2 linked regions of the Arabidopsis thaliana genome follow. The protein of the gene in region 1 interacts with the protein of each later gene in a pairwise test. Each region holds a gene or a part of one and is shown on either strand. Other genes may lie near its edges.

Region 1 (4,899 bases):
TTGGAACTAGATTCTTAAATGCTACTATATTTTAAAAAATGGAAAATGATTGTTTTTCGTTACATAAAAGAAGAACATGAGGTGGTGAAGGCATGAAGGGTCCTTTTCTAAGTTTGTAGAGACGAAGACACTTTCCCAAAATTCCTGATAAATCACTTCTTTGACCGATGGTCTCAAATCACAAGATTCGATTAGAGACTTGGGGATAAATTTGGATTGGCAATCAACAATGTTTTTGGATTTAATATTTAAGATTAGACTTATGGGAAAAGAACCAATCAAGAGTTATAAAATTATTTAATATATTATTTGTACTTTGATTTGGTCATTACAAGATTAAATAATCGTAATACACACTCTTTACGTGAATAACCGTAAAAGAGAGTTGATATAACGATTAACGAGTTCAACAAAAAGTCTATTTCAGAATAAATAAAACTTTAATTTACATTCTTTTTTTTGTAAAGGAAGAAAAAAAAGGGATGGGGTCAGACTTGGGAGAGACAAGATCAGGACATGCCAGCTATGAACCCACCACCATTGCTTTAAATCACTCATCTCCTAAATTATTTAAACGTTCATTATAAAAGCTAAAAATAAGTCTATATAACTTTATTTGGGTTTGGTCCCTTCAATGATTCCATATAGTATTGCGACTTTATTTATAATTGGTAGTAGTGAATAAGTTGGGGTATGATTAAGGATGTAAGAGCATCAGATCCTCTTCATTCTGATTCTGCCTTCCCATTGTCTTTGTCTCTTTTGCTTATTGGTCTCCTTCATGATCATTTTCACATTGTACTATTGCATCATTGATTCTTGTAAATCAAAACCTTATAATATATGGAGTTAAAAAGGTGACTGAATAAACAGTTTCAGCAATTCCAATATACTTTCAGTGTAAAAGGCTACAACCAAACTCAGCTAAACTCAGCTTTAAGAACAAATCTACAACAAAATGGGAAAGCAAAGAACATTGTGAAGTAAGTTTTTGTTTTTTTCATTCTTTTTTCCAATCTTGAGTTTGTTCGTACGGATGTACGTTCAAAAGTAAACTCATCTTTACATTAATCTTACACAAGAAAGCTACAAGGGTTAATACAAGCCTTGACCTGAAGGTGCTTGAGCTTCAGATACAGAACTTGACCACACATTGACGCTGGATTGTATCAATGTTAAACTGATAAGACTGCACAGAGTAAACGCCACCGGATAAAACCGATGCACAAGAACGATCAGCTGACTCATGTTCTTGATGACTGCAGAGACATTTTGAACATCTAGTAACCTGACATAAATCAACAAAGCAAGCTATGGTTCACAAATACAAAAAGGGTCAACAATCAGAATCTTGATGAAGTATTACCGGAAAGATAATGACTTTTTAATCGTCTCGAGTTGGGAATAAAGTTAAGACAGTTCTCCCTCCATTAGCGTTTGCAGATTCCAAATCCTCAACGTAATTACTAACTGGACTATGCAATGATGGTGTAGACATTCTCTGAATTGGTTGCTGCTGCGTTTGCCTCACCGCCAAGAACGAAGGATCAAACTTCCCATTAGTCGTCGGTGATCCAAATCCATTACTAGTCGGTGATCCAAACTGTCCATTACTCGTCGGTGAACTGAATCCACCATTAGTCGGTGAACCAAAATGCGCAGCTGCGATTTGACGGTGGAACTGAGGCGGTTGTAAATGAGGATTAGCTGCTGCAGCAGCGGCCGCAGCAGCAGCCATTTGTTGTTGTTGTTGAAGAGTAGCAATAGGAACAAAAGACGGCATGAAATGATCAGAACTGGGAACACGATTAGGATGAAGAAAGTGAGCAGGAACAGGAGAGCTAGCGAAAAGACGATCAGTAGCTGGATCTGAACCAGCACCACCACCAGAAGACAAACCTTGCATTCTCTTAAGATAAAGTCTATACTTTTGCAAATGACTCGCAACGTTTTCTCTAGTTAAACCATCAACACTCATAAGCTGCATAATCGTTTTAGGAACTGCGTTCTTAATCCCTAAATGCGCAACAGCATCAACGAAACGTTTATGCAGCTGCGGTGTCCAGACAAGACGAGGTCGTTTTAAAGTCCGAGCTGGTTCGTCTCCGGCAGCTCCTCCGGAGCCTAGATCTGCTGAATCTGCAGCGAATTCGGCTGAGGAATTGGCTTGAGAAGATGGAAGCTGAAGCTGAGACGGTGTAGGAGGTGTGGTTTGGTGATGATGATGATGATGAGGTTGGTTTGAGTTTCCGTTTCCGTGATTTGGGGTTCGTATATCGAAGGCTAGAGCTAGATCGGGTGAGATTAGAGATTGTGATATTGGCATGAGCTCTTCTGGTGATGGAAGTTCTTCTTCCCATCTTGCGAACCAGTCTGAATCGTCTTCTCTCATTTTTATCTTTGAAAAAACAGAGGAGGTAAAAGCTCGAGTTTTTAAGTGTTGATTTCACAAAACCAGAAACATTTTTGAAGATTTAGATTATAGAGAAAGTAACAGATTCAGTGAGGTGAGAACTACGAAATTCGATCTGTAGAAAAAGGAATAAACTTTTCAGGAAAAATTTAACAGAGGAAATGAGAAAAAGGTTGGATTTTTATGAGTCTTTGTGGCTTGAAGAGGAAGAGGAAAAAGGAAGAAGGAAACGGAATCTGAGAATTAGATGATGATTGAGAAAGATGGAGAGAAGTTCGAGGTGGATCTTTAGCTTTTTTTTTTTTTTTTTTTTTGGGTACTCTCAGCTTTTTCAATCTTTAATTTATGATGAGAGTACTTTACCAAATCTACATTTTATTTGAGAGTTCTGATTATTATTTTTCAATTTTATTACATAGTTTTTTGGGAGATTTCAATCATGTCAAGACTCGACCGACGATAACTTTTGGCGCGTGTTGTCCACTTTAGAATCGATGAAGTGAACCTGAACCACTTCAACTGGTTTGGTTTGATCCTTTCTTTTGATTGCCTTTTTTTAATTGGATGTGAGACTCCAAAATGGAAAGTATTCTAATAAACTAAAATCTACTACTAATCTTTGATTAAGACACTGATCAAGATAAAGAGAAGAATGATTTACTAATGTTGATCAGTGTATAAGTTATGATGACTCGGTGTGTTATTTTGGACTTTGGAAACATAATAACATCAACAATCTTTGGCAATAAAAACGTGTATACTTGGCTTAACATATTTCTTTTATTCAGTTTTCTTCTATAGTCTATTTTATGTAGTTAGAACATAGTATAGAAATGCGTGATACTGTTAGCATGTCATTGTCAATAAATAATTATGTTTTTAGAGAAATTTGAAGGCCCAGTTTTGGTTTCGCTTGCAAGCAAAGACAAGAACATTCAATGATATAATATGAATATTCAAAATTGATGAAACTGAAAACATATTAAAAAGAATAGTCATTAATATCATCATCTTTTGGTTTAACAACAATGAAAAAGTTATTAACTCTCTGATTATTGATCCATTCCTTGTAAAGATACCAAAAACAAAGTCATTTGATATTCTTTATCTCAAAAGTCAAAACATATTTGCTTGCTTAGAAGATGTGCATCTATTTATGAAAAGACAGACCATCAATCGTCTGCATATCATAAGAATCGTAAAATGAAGAATTGGCAAAATACCATGAAAACAATTAGTAAGCTAGCAAATTAGCGAGATAGAGAAGGAGAATATTAATTACCATCAAGCAGCTAGCTAGCCGTCCTTCCAAGAAGAATATTATTATCATCTAAGAAATGGATTTTGAGGTTGGACCAGACATGATAATATGATGAATCTTTACAAGGAACGTAGTGGATCTTCTTCCGGCTGAATAGTGCTCATTTTTCAATTTCTACATATATCGCATATTGAGCAGAAGCTGCGATGATGCTGAAACCCTATACATAGACTCTAACTCTTCCCTTATCTTCTTTTTCTCTTCAACATTCGTGAAAGGTATCAGTGAGATTTCCACCGTCTTCAAAGACTTCAGAGTTTTCGAGGATGTAAGCCAGAAGTTGTTTCTCTTCTCTCCTTCCTTCAAAGAGTTTCCACTCCAAGATCTCAAGGTGAGACAACACGCATCGCGGTACAGAACTTGGTTGGTTCCAAGAAAGTGGAACATGATCAATAAAAGGCTGAGAAGGAAGAATTCTAATTAAACACGTTTCAAGAGAGATATTTACAGAGTTGATCCTAATAGCATCTCCATTGGAAGTATCTCAATAAGATACCCAAAAAAAGAAAAAAAAAATTAAAAAAAAAAGGTATGAGAGAAGGGAGAAAAAGTAGAAGAGAAGGAGAGAAGGGAGAAAAAGTAGAAGAGAAAAATTAGAAGAGCTTTTAGTTTAGGAGCATTATGAAGCAAAAGCATAAGTGGCTCCATCCAATACTCTGAGGAAGAAGGATACAACTGAAACTCTATGAGCCGAGAGAAGTTAATGGTGCTACAACTCGCAACCTGCACTTGAACGAAGCAGAACACAACATAAGTAATTAAACGCAGCGATAGTATCACGAAGAAAATAAGATATATTACGAGAGAAGGGTATCAAAATGGTTGGTTAATTACCTTGATATGAGCCAAATAGAGATACTTGACAGAGGAGAAAGATGTCAGAAACTTGTCATTCGGGTAAAAACCACAGAGGGAAACGATGGCCTTTTCAAGGCATGGCATATTCTGGATGGAGAAATTGCCTCCTAAAGAGTCAATGATGCTAAGGTAATTTAATCCCGGGGAATCTATAACCAATGACCTACCAGAACCATTTTTTTCAAGTGATTGCGAATCAATGAACCTTGTCACATTGTCACTCTTATTTCGGATCACCAACAAATATCTGAGAACAGGGCAACTCAATAAAAGCCTAACATGAGAATCTTGGTCTTTATACACCACA
Region 2 (4,494 bases), about 16 Mb from region 1:
AGTATGATCTCACTTTTGAAATCAGGAGACGTTTTCATCGTTGTGAAGGAGAAAGCTAAGCGTGTGAGACGAATGTTAAAACTAGTATATATATATTCGAATTGTTTAGTTAGTTACATATTATGCAGCATTTACGAAACACGTACTAAAAGCTATTATTAATAGTCAACTCAACTAAAACCATACGAGGAATAAAGTCCCAAGGTAAATTGGTAATTCGTGATAATCTCAAAGATATGGTCAACGAATATTATCACATTGCAAAAATGGATAATATTATCACGTCAACTAAGGTCGTATTCAATCTCCAAAAATACGCAGAGTAATAAATTAGTCAATAAGAGAGTGTGCCCAGTACGTTTATTTTTCTTTTTTCAGTTATTGTATATATTTTTATTTGTGAAATTTGTTTTTTTTTTCAGTTATATTATGTCAATTTTAGAAATACAAGAGAAAATGTGATGGATATAAATAAGTAACAACAAAAAATTGGAGTTACTAACCCTGAAATAAAGCCTACTCCTAATTTGGTATAAATTGATCTCATATTTTATACACTTGATAACTATCAGTCTACCAATAATTATTGAGCATACATTCTAACTAGAAAATGAACCATCTCTATCAATTAATATAAAAACTATATATTATAACGTAAATATAACGTTAGAGGAGGTTAAGAAAAAAAGAATTCTGAAAATTAATGCGAAACAAAACAAATATAATAGTAAGAGTTTTAAAAGTTTTAACCAGTTACTAAATCTAAAAACCTACTACGACTAACAAACAAAAAATCAAATTTGTAATTTAAAACATACATAACCCGTTAACATACTAACTGGTGATAAATCTGAACCGGGTCGGATCCTAATTCTGCTCCTTTAAAAACCTTCCACAATTTCTTCAAAAACTCGAGACAACCTGAACCGTCTGAACCGGCTGGTTCAAACCGGTTTCTTCAGCACCGTCAGAAGTCTCTTTCTTCCTACGCATCTCAATGACTTTACTGTGGTGGTTTGAGTGAAGCTCACTCGAAAATGTTGGGCTACAAGCGGGTCTATATTCGGGTAGTAACCGACCCGATTTGTAACGCACACCACACGCATTACACAACGTCTTCGCTCCTAATGGTCCTGCTCTCCACTGCGGCGTTTTCTGAACTCCACAATGACCACACTGCCGCGTCTGCGTCTGCGTTTGCGTTTGCGTCTGACCAGCGTTTTTCCAAACTTTCTTCTTCTTTTGTGTTTTAGTCATTGGCTCATCAAGAAACTGACCGCTGGCGAGCCATAGAGGGCTTGAAGGACGAGGAGAGGACGACGAAGATGTTGTAGAGCTTGAAGATGAGTCGGTTAACGACTGCGAACCATGAGACCAGACTCTGACTCCGGTTCTGGCTCGTTTGGGTCTGGTTTTGACGGCCGGATGTTGGGATTTGAAGCAGGTCTCCTCTTTAACCGGTTGTACAAGATGTCTCCGATTTCCGGTTAACCAAACCGGTTTATTCGTCGGAGCAGAATACGGCGTGAAAGAAGAATCATCTACGAAATTTGATAACCATTCAAGTTCCGCTATATCATCCATCTAACAATCAAAACATGAAAAGCAAGAAATTAACAATGCAATGACTGATAATTTTTATAAATTTTGCGAAAATGAAAACACAAATTCATACCGGAACGGAAAGCCCGCTAGTGTGGAAATCAGCGGTGGAGAAATCGTTGCTCCGGTGAAGGGTATTTTCGTCAGAGACTCCTCTTTTTCGTTGTACTTTCAATTCAGCCTCATCCTCAACCAAAACGTCGTCGTCTTCTTCTTCTTTTGAGAAGTCAAGCAAGTCGTCGACGGAGAAATCATCGCCATTTTGAGCGCCGCCGGTTAGGGTTTTGTCTTTCATGTTACTGTTCTTCAACGTCAATTCAACACTCTCCATTATTTCCTATCAAACCCCACCAACACAAATTAGGTTTTCTTCTTTTCTTTTGGCTTCCTCAGAATTATCAAAAACTCTCCAAAAATTATCTTTAAAAAAAAAACTCCCCCCGAAAAAAAAAACGTTCCTTTATTTTTCCAAATTCAAACAGAAAAACCCAAAAGAAAAATCACGAAAACCCAGAACCACAACTTGGTGAAACGAACCATGATTTGACTAAGCCACAGATAAAAATTCAATCTTTTTCAAACAATGTGACGAGTAAGTAACCTTCAAAAAAAACTAAAATTGGAATTACCTGAGATGAGAAGAGACAGAGAGTGAAGAGAGGAGATATGTCGGTGAATGAGAAGAAGAAGAAGAGTGGTGAGAATTTAGAAGAAGAGGTGAGTTTGGTAAAGCATTGAATATGATAGTGACTCCAGACCAAAGCCCTCTTCTCCTAAAACTAAAAAAGTTGTGAGTTTCTCTTCTTTATTCTTTCTCAATCTCTTATTTTCCCAAGAACCAAAAAAAAAAGATAAAAATTGAAATATTTTGCTTTGGTGGGAACTATTTTTTTTTACCTTTTTACTCAACCGGCAAAAATTCATAAAAATGTCTACTTTTTGTAAATTCAAAGCGTACATACGCGCTACTGTGAAACGAGAGATGACTGAAAAAAGAACGGTCTCGTTTTCGTTACCCAATCACATACATATTTGGGCTGTATTGGGCTATGTTGGGCTGGGCTTTCTGAAATTTTACGATTTGGGTATCTCATTAACAATGGCTTTTCTCCTCCCGTCTTCTTCAATTCAAAACTGTTTGTGATGATTACTCAGCGATATGCGATTAAAAGCTTCAAATTTGCAGAAACCCATCTTCTTCAGCTCCTACTCTGCCCATGATGTCAGATTCTCTTCTTTCTTAACCTCTCTTTTGAATTCATATGTGGGCTTAAGATTGTTGGTTTCATTTCATGTCTACTTTATTCCTTTTGTAATTTGACTTTTCGCTACCTGTCAATAGCTTATGGTGAATTTGGCTTGTGGTATCGCTAAAGCATCATAATCTCTTCTTCATTACTGCTATGTTTCTACTTGTTGGAACAAAATTTCATTTATTGGTGTGCCTTACTTTTCCCAGTGAAATGATTCATAGCCTTACAAGAGAATATCATAACCATGTTAAAAAAAGCAATATGAAGTAAGGAAAACAAAAATGTTCTAATTAGTCTATATAGTTTAAGAAGACTAAAGCTATTTCTTATACTGACAAATTCTTTTGGGGATTATAGATATGAGTAGTGTGTTGTATTATAATGATGCTTCTGCTACTTTCAAATGCAGATTCTCAGAGCGTCTTTCATTGAGAAGTTTCTGGTCTCCAGAATCCTTTTTGTGCACTTAAGATTCCTTCTTGGTGTTTGGAGAAAGTTAAGTGAACATCCCAGTGCAGTGACTTCAACATGTTCTCAACTTCTCTTATCACATTTGATTCGTCACGAACTATTAGTTTACCTCCTGGTCTTACTATTCTATCCACTTCTGCCATTACTGGAACAAGATTGCACCTTTCAAAACAAAACAAAACAAGAGACTTATTGTTGATGAAACGTTACCAAAAGGTGTGGATATTATGAGTTACGCTTATACCTTGTTCTCAACTTTGAGAAAAGATGATCTGCATGTAAGAGATCATAGCTTCGAGGGTATGTGCTAAATGATTCACACCAGTCATGATATATTCCGAATAGGCCTCTCTCGTAGATTATCGGTAGTGTATCTGGTGAATTTATGTTTACTACATTCATTACCCACACCTGTAGGTCCTTCAGAGCTGCTGCAAACCTGCATTTTTACGTAGTTAGTAAAAAAAGGTTTAGTTTTGGTAAGTGAGATTTTAGTTTGATTTGTTTTCGTTGATGCTCACCCTCCGTAGACAGCTCGCATGTCCATTACATTCCTCACATTTGACCAGCTGATTCCTATTTCATTCATGTATACTTTGCTTACAACATGTTTCCAGTGTTCATAATCTGTAGTGAAATCTCGAGGAGCTGGTTTCCCATATATCCCCATTTGAGAGCTGTTTAACCAGTAAGGCGGTGTTTGAAGCCGACGGGGCCAATTCACGGGCCACTTGCTTCCTCTCTCGACCACATTGGTAGGAACTTTATGCATACATGCTTGTAGGGGTACATACCTGAAATTTCCATTCAAGTTTTGACTTTCTTTGTTCTGTTAAAACCTTATGGTTATTCATTCCCTATGCAAATTGTGGAAACAATCATACCAGGCTGCATTTGCATCGTCGTTGTTTTTGCACAGTGGAGGCTTGTTGTGCTTTCTTTTCTCGTAACATTCATTGGTGGCAGGTTTCTGGTAGATTGCAGCACCAATACCATTGAGTTTATCCTTGTTGATTGTCACAAGTTCCCAGCACAAGGATTTTGTCAACGCGGACATTTCTACATCACTCAAAACATCTCAGGTTCAGTGAAACAAACAAAAGAAGGAGGAACTCTAGTTAAGTTCAAGCATTTTACTTTAGTCATTACCTTTCCAGATTTGAACATC

The links.
Region 2: the proteins of AT3G10760 (region 1) and GATA6 interact in a two-hybrid assay, tested with the Arabidopsis thaliana proteins (one large-scale study listed by BioGRID).

Annotation. Positions count from the first base shown.
Region 1 is NC_003074.8:3,367,307-3,372,205, reverse strand, and holds AT3G10760 (Homeodomain-like superfamily protein), read right to left. Parts: upstream 2,728-4,899; 5' UTR 2,393-2,727; coding exon 1,385-2,392; 3' UTR 1,367-1,384; intron 1,289-1,366; 3' UTR 631-1,288; downstream 1-630. Other genes in the region: AT3G10750 (FBD domain family), read right to left, coding at 3,937-4,150, 4,594-4,899.
Region 2 is NC_003074.8:18,971,078-18,975,571, reverse strand, and holds GATA6 (GATA transcription factor 6), read right to left. Parts: upstream 2,447-4,494; 5' UTR 2,232-2,446; intron 1,940-2,231; 5' UTR 1,934-1,939; coding exon 1,676-1,933; intron 1,585-1,675; coding exon 904-1,584; 3' UTR 680-903; downstream 1-679. Other genes in the region: AT3G51070 (S-adenosyl-L-methionine-dependent methyltransferases superfamily protein), read right to left, coding at 3,281-3,488, 3,571-3,765, 3,848-4,120, 4,211-4,385, 4,476-4,494. UniProt on the Arabidopsis thaliana protein: Transcriptional activator that specifically binds 5'-GATA-3' or 5'-GAT-3' motifs within gene promoters. May be involved in the regulation of some light-responsive genes.